Neodiprion lecontei: one gene and its partners. The protein of the gene in region 2 purifies or fractionates together with the protein of the main gene of each other region. This does not show direct contact. Links are inferred from orthologs where the notes say so. Each region holds a gene or a part of one and is shown on either strand. Other genes may lie near its edges. The genes, in order: coatomer subunit beta, coatomer subunit zeta-1 and coatomer subunit alpha.

Region 1 (4,365 bases), on a different chromosome or scaffold from region 2:
AAATTAAAGATCATCTTCGTAATTTTTTTGCTGATGTTCCTTTGCTCTTTTTGATGATCCTGAGGGTCCAATCAGTCTAGAAATGTTCGTACAAATCGATTCTGAGACGAAAGATTGTTTGTTCCAAGAACAAGTAAGGTCAACTCCTTTCGACTTCCGGTGAAAATTTTGAAGATAATGCCAAAATCAATTCTTTGTCGCACTATATCAAATCTAACTCAGTGGAAACGTTGTTTTCCCACAGCTTCGCGATTTCACGTATTAATTATCATTAAAGATAAGCAATCATCTAGTGCCATCTACCATTATAGTAGGTGAGTATGTTGTGATGTGCAATGCCCACACGACTGCCTTGGTGTACCGACATCATTGTTCAATCTTTCCTTTTTTCGTCAAGTACAGACACTTGATCCACTGTTATTGACGTAAATAACAATATCTCCTCCTTTTACCAGAAAACATTACAACTCATGCAAATCATATTCAACATCTTCTTTCGTTGACTAATGATTGCTACAGACAGTCAGCCCTGGGCATTATTTTGTTGGGTGCGTTCCGACGTTAGCTAGATGCGCTAAAAACTCCCTAGGCCAAAGGTTCTATCCGCGAACACGGCAGCGCAAAAGAGATAAACGATGGTTGACAGCTCCAGAAGCTCATATCAGAACGGACCCGAAGCAAGCACAAGTGCAACGTGGGCGCGGAGATAATGGCAGTATCTTTTATTTATCGATTTGATTAGGGGGCATTGAGTGGGTAACAGTAGGAAATTTCTTTACCGAGGCTTTCTTCCCCGCCTCACATTCTTGCGTCGAGTTTCAATTCAGCTTGCCCGTCCCAAGCAATATTCAATCAACGCTACTTCTCATTTTTTATGGGCCGCCGCGTTGGGACTCCGTTCCCTCTTGATTAACCTAAATATGCCCGTCTCTGGCTAACGTGAAGTAGAGGGTTTCGAATATCTGAGCTAGCTTTAAATTTCCCTGGCGCGCCATTCGCTTGTCACGACGGCGGCCCGAACTTCCGTATGACACGTATGCCGTCCGCAATCTTCGTCACGAATCAGTTTTAAATGCTGTCGTTCCTTTCGGAACTACTCAGCGGCGTTATATTTTGGTACAATTAATCCACGTTTTTAAATCACGACGAATCTCTGCCTCAGCTTCTGCTCCTTAAGAACGCGGGAGGAAATCGTACGTATGCTCTTCTTCGGCCGTGAGGCTCGCGACTTAAGGCAAACATAACCTACATGTGTGTCCGTCCGGCCCTCCCATCCTAGAATTACTTTGAATTAAATTGAATAAATGAGCTGTCTGAGTAAATGGTTTGTCGCAGCTTTTCCTTGTCCTTTGCCGACTTGAATATTTCTCTCCCACATCGCTATATATACTGACACTTTGGAGGACTGTTGAAGGTTTCAGTGCATGTGTCAAATTCTCCAAACTAGAATAAGATTCATCCACGAACTTGATACTATAGTATATGTAAAGAGGTGAAAAATCCAGTATTTTATTTTTCTAATTTCAGCCCCAATTTCCACCATGAGTAGTATTGCAGAACAGCCATGCTACACACTGATAAATATTCCAATGGATTCGGAGCCAATCAACGAGCTCCAGCTGAAGCTCGATCTGGAGAAGGGTGACACCAAAACTAAAATTGAAGCACTCAAGAGAACGATACACATGATTATCAGTGGCGAAAGGCTCCCTGGGCTGTTAATGACCATTATAAGATTCGTGCTACCATTGCAAGACCATATGGTTAAAAAATTGCTACTCATTTTTTGGGAAATCGTACCAAAAACTTCTCCAGATGGCAAACTACTTCAGGAAATGATTCTCGTCTGCGATGCATACAGAAAAGACCTGCAGCATCCAAACGAATTTGTCAGGGGATCCACTCTGAGGTTCTTTCAGATTCTTATTTAGCTCTTGCCTAGCAGTTAAATTTTTTGTGTTTGACGTCATCCTTTACACCTAATCTTTTAGATTTCTCTGCAAACTCAAGGAGCCTGAACTTCTGGAGCCTCTGATGCCTGCGATCATAGCCTGTTTGGAGCATCGGCATTCGTACGTTAGGCGAAATGCAGTTTTAGCCATATTCACAATATACCGTAATTTTGAGTTTCTCATACCGGACGCTCCAGAGTTAATCGCAAAATACTTGGACGGTGAGCAGGATATGTCCTGTAGACGAAATGCATTCCTCATGCTGCTCCATGCTGATCAGAGCAGAGCTCTTTCCTACCTAGCTGCTTGTCTTGACCAAGTTCCAAGCTTTGGCGACATCCTTCAGCTTGTTATCGTCGAACTGATTTACAAGGTAAGCTTTCTGCAATTTAATTATCTTTCAAAGAAAAAACAAAGTCCATATTTCAATGTATTTACGAACTCTAAATTCATATTATTCTTGCAGGTGTGCCATGCAAATCCATCAGAGAGAGCTAGATTTATCCGTTGCATCTATAGTTTGCTAAACTCACCAAGCGCGGCTGTTCGGTATGAAGCTGCTGGTACACTGGTTACCCTGTCTAGTGCCCCAACAGCAATACGAGCTGCTGCTGCATCCTATGTAGAACTGGTAGTTAAAGAGAGTGACAATAATGTGAAGTTGATTGTTCTGGATCGACTTATTGCCATGAAGGACAGCCCTGCCCATGAAAGAGTATTACAGGATCTTGTAATGGATGTGCTTAGAGTTTTGGGTGGGTTTAGCTCTTTGCTGCTCAAGAATTTCTTGGAGATTTACAGTTTTACCTGATTGAAATCATCTTCTAGGATCTCCGGCGTTTGAAGTCAGGACAAAAACCCTTGCCTTGGCAATGGATCTGGTATCAAATCGAACCATTGACGAAATGGTGCAGCTGCTTAAGAAAGAAGTGATGCGGACTGCTGGTGGGGAACACGAAGATGCTGGTAGATACCGTCGGCTCCTGGTTAGGACCCTACACGCCTGTTCAATCAAGTTCCCAGATGTTGCAGCAACTGTTATACCAGTTCTAACTGATTTTCTCTCTGAAAATAACGAAGCTGCAGCCACTGACGTTCTCATTTTCGTTCGTGAAGCCATCCAACGATTTGAGCCACTCAGGCCACTCATTATAGAAAAGCTATTAGAAGTAAGAATCTCATTCCCTACCTCTTATCGAATGTCACTTCATTATTAATTTTTCTGTCTCCTGTTCGCTCAGGTATTTCCACAAATTCGGTCGGTCAAAGTACACCGTGCAGCTCTTTGGATCCTTGGAGAGTATGCAGTTTCAAAAGAAGACATCGAAGCTGTAATGAGTCGCATTAGGGCCGCGCTTGGAGAGCTACCTTTAGTCGAGGCAGAGAATAAGAGGGCGGCTGGTGACAAGCCGGCCGAAGACGGCGCTGCCCCAACTTCAGCAGCAAACCCGGCTCAGCTTGTAACCTCGGATGGAACGTATGCTAGCCAGAGTGCGTTTAGCACAGCATCGACTGGTCAGTTCATGTTCTAAAGACAATTTTTACAAAATATGGGCGAATATTGCACTGTGATTGTTCTTTCAGGTAAAAAAGAAGAAAAACGTCCAGCTCTGGTCCAGTACATGATGGATGGTGACTTTTTCATTGGTGCTTCCCTTGCTACAACCCTTGCTAAGCTTGTACTGCGCTACAAAGCTCTCGAGAACGATGCTACAAAGAGCAACAGGATGCAAGCAGAAGCGATGCTCATTATGTCTGGTGTATTGCAGCTCGGTAGATCCGGGCTTCCGACTAAAGCTATGACCCACGACGATGCTGAACGACTGACCGTGTGCCTGAGGTCACTAGCCTGTCCTACACCCATCATTCAAAAGGTCTTCACAGAGGGCTGTAGAGACGCCCTCAGCAGAATGTTCGCTGCTAAAGCCGAGGAAGACTCGCAAACTCAAAAGGTAGCGTGCTTTCTCATGACGATCATAAGGAAGTAATAGGAACAATTTAATCTACGGGCTATAATTTTTTTTCGATTAATAGGCAAAGGAAAAGCCGGGCAGCATCGTACAAGTTGATGATGCAATCCAATTCCTGCAACTCAGCCGTAATTTGGATCTCACTGGAGGCGCGGGAGACGTCTTCGAGCAAAGTCTTAGCGTGGCGGTTGCTGGCAGGCCAGGTATAAAGAGTTTAATGTTTATTTACAATGTCGCGGAACCAACAAATTTACGAAAATCGATTTTTCATTCGTGAATATATTTCAGGCGCGGCAGGAGACGCACCGGCACCTAGCGCCTTGAGTAAAGTAACGCAGCTCACAGGATTCTCCGATCCCGTATACGCAGAAGCTCTGGTCCACGTCAACCAGTACGACATTGTCCTCGACGTTCTTGTTGTCAATCAGACGGAAGACACCCTC
Region 2 (3,714 bases):
TCACTGCTCACACCTCCTATTCTGTAGACTAGCACGTATCTGTGAAATAAAATTAATGATAACAAGGTCCTTGTACAATTGGGAGCGAGCCTTCAGGCTTGTGAAAATAACTACAAACCCTGACTCTTTTCTGTCTTGACCAATCCCATAGGCCAAACACGCAGCAGCAGGTTCGCTAATAACTTGTAGAACTCTGAACCCAGCAGAGGAGGCAGATTTGCTCCACATTTGAATGCTAGCAGAACTGAATCTGAGCGGAACGCAAAGTACGACGTTGTGCTCATTGTCATCATGTGCTGCGGTAGTGGAAATACTGTACATGACCTCGAATATTCTAGTTGCAACTTCGACGGGAAGTATTTTCTCCATCCTTTCATTCCTCTTTATTAAATATTGTACTGTGTCTTTCTCTGTTATTATTTTACAGGTGCTACTCTTTACTGCTAACTCCAGCTCCGTCTCGTCAATGTTTTTATTCATTAATCTCTTATTGTTCAATACAGAGACCGGACCATTCCTGAAGAGTCCAGCCTTGGCCGCCAAGCCGATCACCTTGAAAATTGTAATGGATAGACGTTACAACGCTGCAATAGGATAAATTTATAAAACACTAGTGGCAGGGGAGCGAATAATTCAAGGCAAACTAGCGAAAGAAAGGATGCGAGAGCAGATCCTAACCTAAAAATGTTATAGATATGCCGTAAAATAGAGTTTCACCTCTTCGGTTTCGTTGAAGGCGACCACAGCCGCGGTGACTCGCTCGCCGGCTTCGTTTGCGACGACGTCAACGTTGTCATCCTGTGAAAATTGATTGAATCAGGGTTATTGATGTGACGTTTTGGCTAGGTTAGAACGAGGCAGCGCGTCCATGTGTCATACATGCGGTTATCTTCCAGTGATAAAATGGTTGGAACTGACTGGTTATTATGAGACGAAAATGCGCCTCCCGCCCGTCAAAAAATATCCAGTTATGCTAGAAATTATCCAGTCACAATTTACCTTAAATATCGCCAAACAGGCTGAGGTGTTTCCTAAATAAAGACCGAATGCGGCTACCGATGCCATGTTTGTACATTCTGTAGAAGCACGAAGCAACGGGATTCGGTTCACGATCAGTTACGACACTGTGGTTACGACTTTCTGCGAGATCACGGATGCCGATCAAAACATGCTACGACCCTTTTTATCGACAGTAGCCTGCAAATTATAACCAAAGGAACGCAGGAACTGAAATCCGAATCGAGCAAATTGACACGTAAACAGAGCGGTTGCCCGTTGACTTTTACGCGAAAATATGGACGATCAGTTGCTGGTACGTTTACTATTTAAATATGTCTTTTTCCAACCTATTATTTAAGATCGAACAATCATCCGACGGGCTGACGGTTCTCTGTCATATTCCTGACCACTTATGTACGGTCGTCGAATATTTGACGGCTTTTGACTGTGTCGCTTCGACTCAACCTAACCTAACCTAACCTAAGAATTTCTACTTAATTTATTTCGAATGACGTTACTCGTCAAATTTAATTGGTTCATCTGTTTTTTCCAATGAATCCATTCTTTTCGTTGAACAATCTTATTATAATGACGTGTCTTTTTTTATCAGGAACCCTCACTATACACCGTCAAGGGTATGGTGATACTGGATAATGATGGCAACAGAATACTGGCAAAGTATTACGACAAGAATGTATTTCCAACTTCAAAGGAGCAGAAAGCCTTTGAGAAAAATCTCTTCAACAAGACACACAGAGCTAACACAGAAATTATCATGCTGGATGGTCTGACGTGTGTTTATAAGAGCAATGTCGATCTATTCTTCTATGTAATGGGCAGCTCTCGTGAAAACGAGGTTTGTCATGTTTTCTTTTGTTCTTATCTTTTTGTAAATGAACAATGCAAATATCTACTTCTAGCTGCTCATGTTGGCGAATAATAGGATTTTCACTAACCCAACTGGTCAGGATTTATCATTAGCTTCTTTGACAGTGAATAATTCTTTGTTAAACTATAATTAGAGATTTTTAAATCATTTCACGTTACAGCTAATTCTTATGAGCGTGCTGAATTGCTTATATGATTCCATAAGTCAAATTTTGAGAAAGAATGTTGAAAAGAGAGCAGTGCTTGATAGTCTGGATATTGTGATGCTGGCTATGGATGAAATCTGCGATAATGGGTAAGTTTTCTGAGATATTGGATTTCCAGATGATTGAAAAATATTTGTATGAACTAGTAAAGCTAGTTTGCACTACATAAAAAAAAATTCCGAAACCCATATGAATTGAATCCGAGCTCAACTTATGGTTAATTATTCCTCATACAAATTAAGATATTTCTGTTATTTAGTATTATTTTGGATGCCGACGCAAGTAGCGTAGTGACACGGGTAGCACTGCGAACAGACGACATTCCACTTGGCGAGCAAACGGTAGCACAGGTGAGAATGTATACCCCTTATTTCAGTCTTCACTTTCTACCATGTCTCTTTTTCCTATATTATGAAATATCGATCTTTCAGTGTAATCCTATCGTGACTTGTCTTTAGACTGTAATTAATATCTAACCATTTTAATCTTACAGGTTATACAGTCAGCAAAAGAGCAACTTAAATGGTCGTTATTGAAGTAATTTAATTTTATAAAATTAATGTTAAGAAAAAGTAAAAAATTGAGCACGTGACGTGAGTGAAAAAAAAAAATATTACATGATCTATGTGAATAAACTATGTGAATAAACTAGCAACGACTATGATTATAAATCGTTAAAATTGATTATATGAAGTATCGTCACATGAAATTGAATGAGGAAAAACTTTCAGTTTTACATCCATGTGACGCCCCGGTTTTCAGTCGAATATGCATTGTAGTTTACGTGATCGCAAAGCTGAGTTTACGTCAATTATTTATTTTCGTTTCAGTCAAATTTGAATCAGAGATTTAGCCTTTTTTAAAATTCTGGCTCACAGCCACCAGCAGAGCGCTGCGGGCACCTAACATGACGAAATACTTGACGCGTGACTGGATAAAGGAAATTCCGGTACACTTTTTCTCTCTCGTCCTGTGCCGTGATTGGATGGGGAAACGCGATTCAGCCAATCACAGCGCAGAGCGAGAGAAACAGAGTGTACTGGGACCCTCTTCATCCAATCACGCATCCGAGCATTGGAGGAGCGTATAAGCTCGATGACCGGATGACTAAATCACATCGTGCAGCCTGCAGTTGCTACTATCAATAGTTACCGACAAAGCACAGAACGAGTTTGTGGAGACGTTGGAAACGGTGTGCCTACAGGTGGAACCATTATCGGTGCACGGTTGTCTGTGATACTTCCGTAACACATAGGTATGTCCATAATAGAAATAAAAGTGGGAATAAGTAAAAAACAGGATTAATTAAAACGGTATATCATATATAGCCATCATCTCTGGGACGTAAACAATGTACGGTGTATTCTTGTCTCGAGATAACGGATCAACGATAATGTTGGTACTCTCCATTTTTATCAACGAATCGACTGCAGTGCCTCGGGTCGTATGTTACTTGCGTGCTCTCTGCGTACACAATGCAAAACCGTTAGGACCACCGTCAAATATCCTCGTGACCGACTCTGTACTAGGTTCAAATACTCAAGTATTAACCGTTGCTAACTCTTATCCGAAGACCGAGGTTTTACCGAGACGACGCGTAGGCAGGTGCATGGCGATGCGT
Region 3 (4,365 bases), about 3.9 Mb from region 2:
ACACTGTAAAATCGACAATACATCAATTTATCCGTGGTTTAAAGTTTTGGAAGCGATAATAGGCGCGCGTTGCACGTGTCATTATTGTAATTTAAGGCAAACATCATGTAAAATAATAAACTGTACATATTATGAAATTAAATATTATAAATACGTGAACTTTGTGACGTCAAGCTTATTACTGTCGCGTTGGCCATGCAACATTTGCAGTGACCGCATGTGCAGTAAGTTTGATAATTTATAGCATGTATGTACAGTGTGTGGTGACGTTATTCCATTGTATTCAAATATACTTTACAATATCCCGCCAAGCATGCCATTCGTCGTATTTACAATTATTGCAATACGTATGAACCATCTCGTCAATTACCCTTCTAATAATAAGTAAAGATATTACATATATCTCAACCTACATTCTTGATACTGTAGGTACTTTATAGCGCTAGAATGACCAAACAGAGAGCTCATCAGGTTAGTGTGGAAGGTATAAAATTTTTATACGCAATTGCAGTAGCAATTGGCGGTCCTGACTTTTTAACTATCAAGTGGAAAATGCAGGTCATATGTAGTCAGTTTCATTAAACCTGCTTAATATTGTCGCGCTCGGGTCTCCAGCTAGTCGCTGGAGAGAAAGACGGAAAAACAGTGGGAGAGAAGGAATACATAGCTGTCTTTCTCTATCGGTTTCAGTTGCGTCCACAATCCTCCATAACTAGAAACTACGGACTTAAGGTCATGTAGTGGTCCTACTCTTACTGACCGAGCAATCTCGCCCTTTTTGGAACGAAGTTCCTTATCGCTCGTTCACCGTAGGGGCTAGGCGGAAAAAAACGACACCAAAAAACCGACACTTTTTGGCTATAGTGCTCGTTTGCTATAGTGCGCGCGATCTCCCTCTCTCTCTCTCTCTCTATTCCAGCGTGTGCGCGCGCTCTCTCTCTCTGTCTCAGCGCTTGGGGTGGGAGACGGCAGCAGCGGTCTCTCTCACTCACAGCGCACGACTATACTTCGCCCCTCTTTCTCTCTCCTACAGCGTACAACTATACTTTGGGCCGCAGCGCGCTCTCTCACAGCGTACGTCTATACTTTGCCTCTCTTTCTTTTTATATCTTTCAAAAACACATTCGTACGATTTTATTACCATTCCTTCATATATTTGATTTTTCATTTAATTATTCTTCAATTAAACGTTCTTAATTTATTCAATGAGCAGTAATATAGCGTAAGGAACTTCGTTCGTACCGGCTGTCCCATGACAGCTCTCATGTTTTTTTCTTCCTATATTAAATAAACAAACAAATTAAAAGGATTCAAACACTGAAATTACAGTTCAGTGGGTTGAAAAATGCTCTCGCGTCGAGTTGCCGCGACCATGCGAACCAAGGAACGTGTTGCCGCGCGCCCAACTGATCGTGACAGCTTCTTTTATTTACAAAATTATTGTAATTTCTAGTTCTCAACTAGCGACCTCAATATTGCGTGAGAACAGTTTTACGATAGTTCATTTCACTCCTCATTCTTCCTGGAATTGCGCAAAGTATCTCAGCTGTGCGCTTTTTGGCCCCTGAAATGTAGGAAATATGGAAATATAAGTAAGACGTGTCGAAAAACCACACTTTTTTTGACGGTTTTCAGGATATGAGTAACTTTCCTGAATTACTTGAAGAGCGATGCACCCTCGAAATTTGAATATACCTATATATCGGTCAACGCATGTGTAAGCATGCGGTCTGACTTGTTCTACGAAACTCCGCTAGGTAGCGTGCCTCTGCACGCATCGTTTTGCAGCATGAGCATGTTTGTCTATGATCGTAAACCGACCAATGCTTATGGGCGTCGGTAACAGCTTGGGTAACAGCCATCAGCAGCCATTCTGTCAAGTTTGCTAGTGACGTGTCTAAGTGTATCGCTAGGTGTATCTTGCTGTCGATAATGCGATTGTGATAGAATTCCAGGCAGAAAAAACCTACGAAATGTTGACCAAGTTCGAAACAAAATCCGCCCGCGTCAAGGGCTTGTCTTTTCATCCTAAGAGGCCCTGGATCCTTGTTAGGTGAGATATATTTCACGTACATGCCGTCTTGTCGGATGGCAAGGGCTTAGAGCAAATTTCACTTAGTAATTTCTATACGTAAGAAATTGGATGTTATTCGTGACCGAACGTTGGTCTCAGTTCAAGACGCAACACTCAATACCCAAGCAATTGACCGGGTGTCTTACAATGCCGACGTAATTGAAGTGATTCCGCAGCAGACGGACAGACACGTCATCAATTTTTGACATAACCTACAATGCTAAAAAACCTAACCTTCCTTGAGATAATAAGCGCTCGGTCGATTAGGGTTTGTATACAAATACTTAGTAATTGCCGCTTTGTTTACTAGACAGATTCAATTTTTCCTTGTCAGTATTAAAATTTTACGTATTCAAAGACAACTCTGTCACATTTTTAACCAAACTTTAAATACAAAAAAAAAACAATCTACTTACTGACCTACGAATCACTTGATTCGTGTTTTTTAATTCCGCTACCAATTTTCGAATACTAGCGGCACATTCCGAAAGTTGACCGCATTTGTGTCTCTAACAGAATTGATCAACAATTGTAAAATGATGATGACGGTCGTGCGAGTACATTTCGGAATACAATTTATTGATAACTCGGAAATTCTTAACGAATTATTATCGGACAAATATTTTAGCGCACCTATTTATCTAGCATGTCTCATGGCTCCATTAATAGGGACTTAGGGAGAACGCGAAAGCGACCGCCCAACAGTGTCTTTTACTTTCTATAGTAAATAATTTGAAATGGCTTACTGGCGGTTTGTAGTTTACACAATAGACTACTTCTCGAAAAATTGAAACAATCCGTTCCCTAGAAATAGGTCGCCCAAAATTGGCTTCAACGGACTGAAAGAGGATGCATTGGTGTGGAAATCTTTCAACGAAATAAAGCAAACGTGGCAGTCTTGATGTACAAAAGAAAAAAGTAAATTATAATTTTTTATTCGATTCAATCCCAATATATACACGTCAATGTGATAAGTTACATTTAAGACACGGAAAGGGCTATTTCATAGTTAGACTGCCTAAAAAAGAAATATCTGAACTTCTCAAGGCTATCTAAGCCGTCTCCTACTGCCTTGAACAGTGAATTTAACTTAACTTCCGATGGTTATATTAATTAATCAAGCAACAGCCATGGAATCGCTAACAACCGCGGGAGTAGTTGGTTCCACAGATTCGGTTGCAGTCGAGCTTGAAGGCGATGATGTTTCCGCGGAGATTGTAGTCGACTCTGTAGAACTTTCTGCGGATTTTTCTGTCAACTGCTCAGTAGACGTTGGTAATTCAGATAGCTTTGCGGACATTGCTTGATCGGTAACGGTGACTGAATCCTTGGACGAATCTTCTTCGGTTGTTCCCGAAATCACGTCACTTGTGGCAGACTGCTCCGAAGTACTCTCAACCTTCTCGCCGGTTCCGGAACTCTGGCCGACCTTCAACGGAATCATATCTTGAATTTCTTTCAAATCCTCTGGCATGCTTTCCTCGGACTCCCCGGAGATGTAATTGTTCACCGATGGTGTGAAGATCGGGTTATGATGCAACGACGGAAATAGCGGATTGTAGTATTCCTCAAATGTCGGGTACAATGGATTATAGAGACCCTGGTAAGAGCTGTACTGGTTGTAGAACGGCTCGTACTGAGATCCAAAGTAATTCGACGGCCCATAGCTAGAGAATCCGGACGATAACTGAGGATAATAGGAATTGAAACCTCGCAGTCTCAGGATAGGGTAAGGCGCTTGGAACCCGACACCCTTTTCCGGGATGAACACCTCATCTGGTTGGTCTTGCTTCGTGCCTTCCGTCGGGTTCATGGCTGGAGACAACGCATCATCCTTCGGGACGGGCGTAGAAGTTTCTATCGTATCAACCGGGACAAGTGGCACGGCCGTTGTTGTTTCTTTGTTCATTTCCGCGACTTTCACCTTCTTGTCATCTTCAGTATTGCCAAGGTTGGAGGCTGGAGCCTTGATAAATGGCATCGAACTCAGCTGATCGCGCATAGCACTGACTTCATTGTTCATTTTGACATCCGATTCCGGCCCAGTGACAAAAACGACTTCGGTTTGCCCGCCAGCGAAGTCCTTTGTGAAGTACGAGTAACCCGCAAAATCAACATTTCCGCCGACCGGCGAACTGTAAATGAGATGCGGGGTGAGCGACAGAGGAGCATGAAATTGCGGGTACGGAAACTGGAAGGTACCGAGCGCTGATCCGACGTATATTAGAACCTGCGTGAGAAATTAAAAATTAATTAGGAAAATGAAAGAAGAGTCATGGCCGTCGGCGCGA

Evidence for each region.
Region 1: the proteins of coatomer subunit zeta-1 (region 2) and coatomer subunit beta fractionate together in Homo sapiens (co-fractionation; 8 studies listed by BioGRID and IntAct, with this or other methods). This does not show direct contact. The link is inferred for Neodiprion lecontei from reciprocal best matches to the Homo sapiens genes COPZ1 and COPB1.
Region 3: the proteins of coatomer subunit zeta-1 (region 2) and coatomer subunit alpha fractionate together in Homo sapiens (co-fractionation; 6 studies listed by BioGRID and IntAct, with this or other methods). This does not show direct contact. The link is inferred for Neodiprion lecontei from reciprocal best matches to the Homo sapiens genes COPZ1 and COPA.

The regions. Positions count from the first base shown.
Region 1 is NC_060265.1:2,317,316-2,321,680, reverse strand, and holds the start of coatomer subunit beta, read left to right. Parts: upstream 1-997; 5' UTR 998-1,193; intron 1,194-1,527; 5' UTR 1,528-1,541; coding exon 1,542-1,909; intron 1,910-1,991; coding exon 1,992-2,325; intron 2,326-2,418; coding exon 2,419-2,707; intron 2,708-2,780; coding exon 2,781-3,121; intron 3,122-3,193; coding exon 3,194-3,467; intron 3,468-3,536; coding exon 3,537-3,904; intron 3,905-3,986; coding exon 3,987-4,125; intron 4,126-4,210; coding exon 4,211-4,365. UniProt on the Homo sapiens protein: The coatomer is a cytosolic protein complex that binds to dilysine motifs and reversibly associates with Golgi non-clathrin-coated vesicles, which further mediate biosynthetic protein transport from the ER, via the Golgi up to the trans Golgi network.
Region 2 is NC_060264.1:32,064,279-32,067,992, forward strand, and holds coatomer subunit zeta-1, read left to right. Parts: upstream 1-1,177; 5' UTR 1,178-1,294; coding exon 1,295-1,312; intron 1,313-1,609; coding exon 1,610-1,855; intron 1,856-2,048; coding exon 2,049-2,182; intron 2,183-2,352; coding exon 2,353-2,443; intron 2,444-2,586; coding exon 2,587-2,634; 3' UTR 2,635-2,764; downstream 2,765-3,714. Other genes in the region: heat shock 70 kDa protein 14, read right to left, coding at 1-39, 119-552, 718-798, 1,000-1,065. UniProt on the Homo sapiens protein: The coatomer is a cytosolic protein complex that binds to dilysine motifs and reversibly associates with Golgi non-clathrin-coated vesicles, which further mediate biosynthetic protein transport from the ER, via the Golgi up to the trans Golgi network.
Region 3 is NC_060264.1:35,964,474-35,968,838, forward strand, and holds the start of coatomer subunit alpha, read left to right. Parts: upstream 1-1,845; 5' UTR 1,846-1,973; coding exon 1,974-2,053; intron 2,054-2,993; exon of another isoform or gene 2,994-3,191; coding exon of another isoform or gene 3,192-4,304; intron 4,305-4,365. Other genes in the region: uncharacterized protein LOC107217266, read right to left, coding at 3,192-4,304. UniProt on the Homo sapiens protein: The coatomer is a cytosolic protein complex that binds to dilysine motifs and reversibly associates with Golgi non-clathrin-coated vesicles, which further mediate biosynthetic protein transport from the ER, via the Golgi up to the trans Golgi network.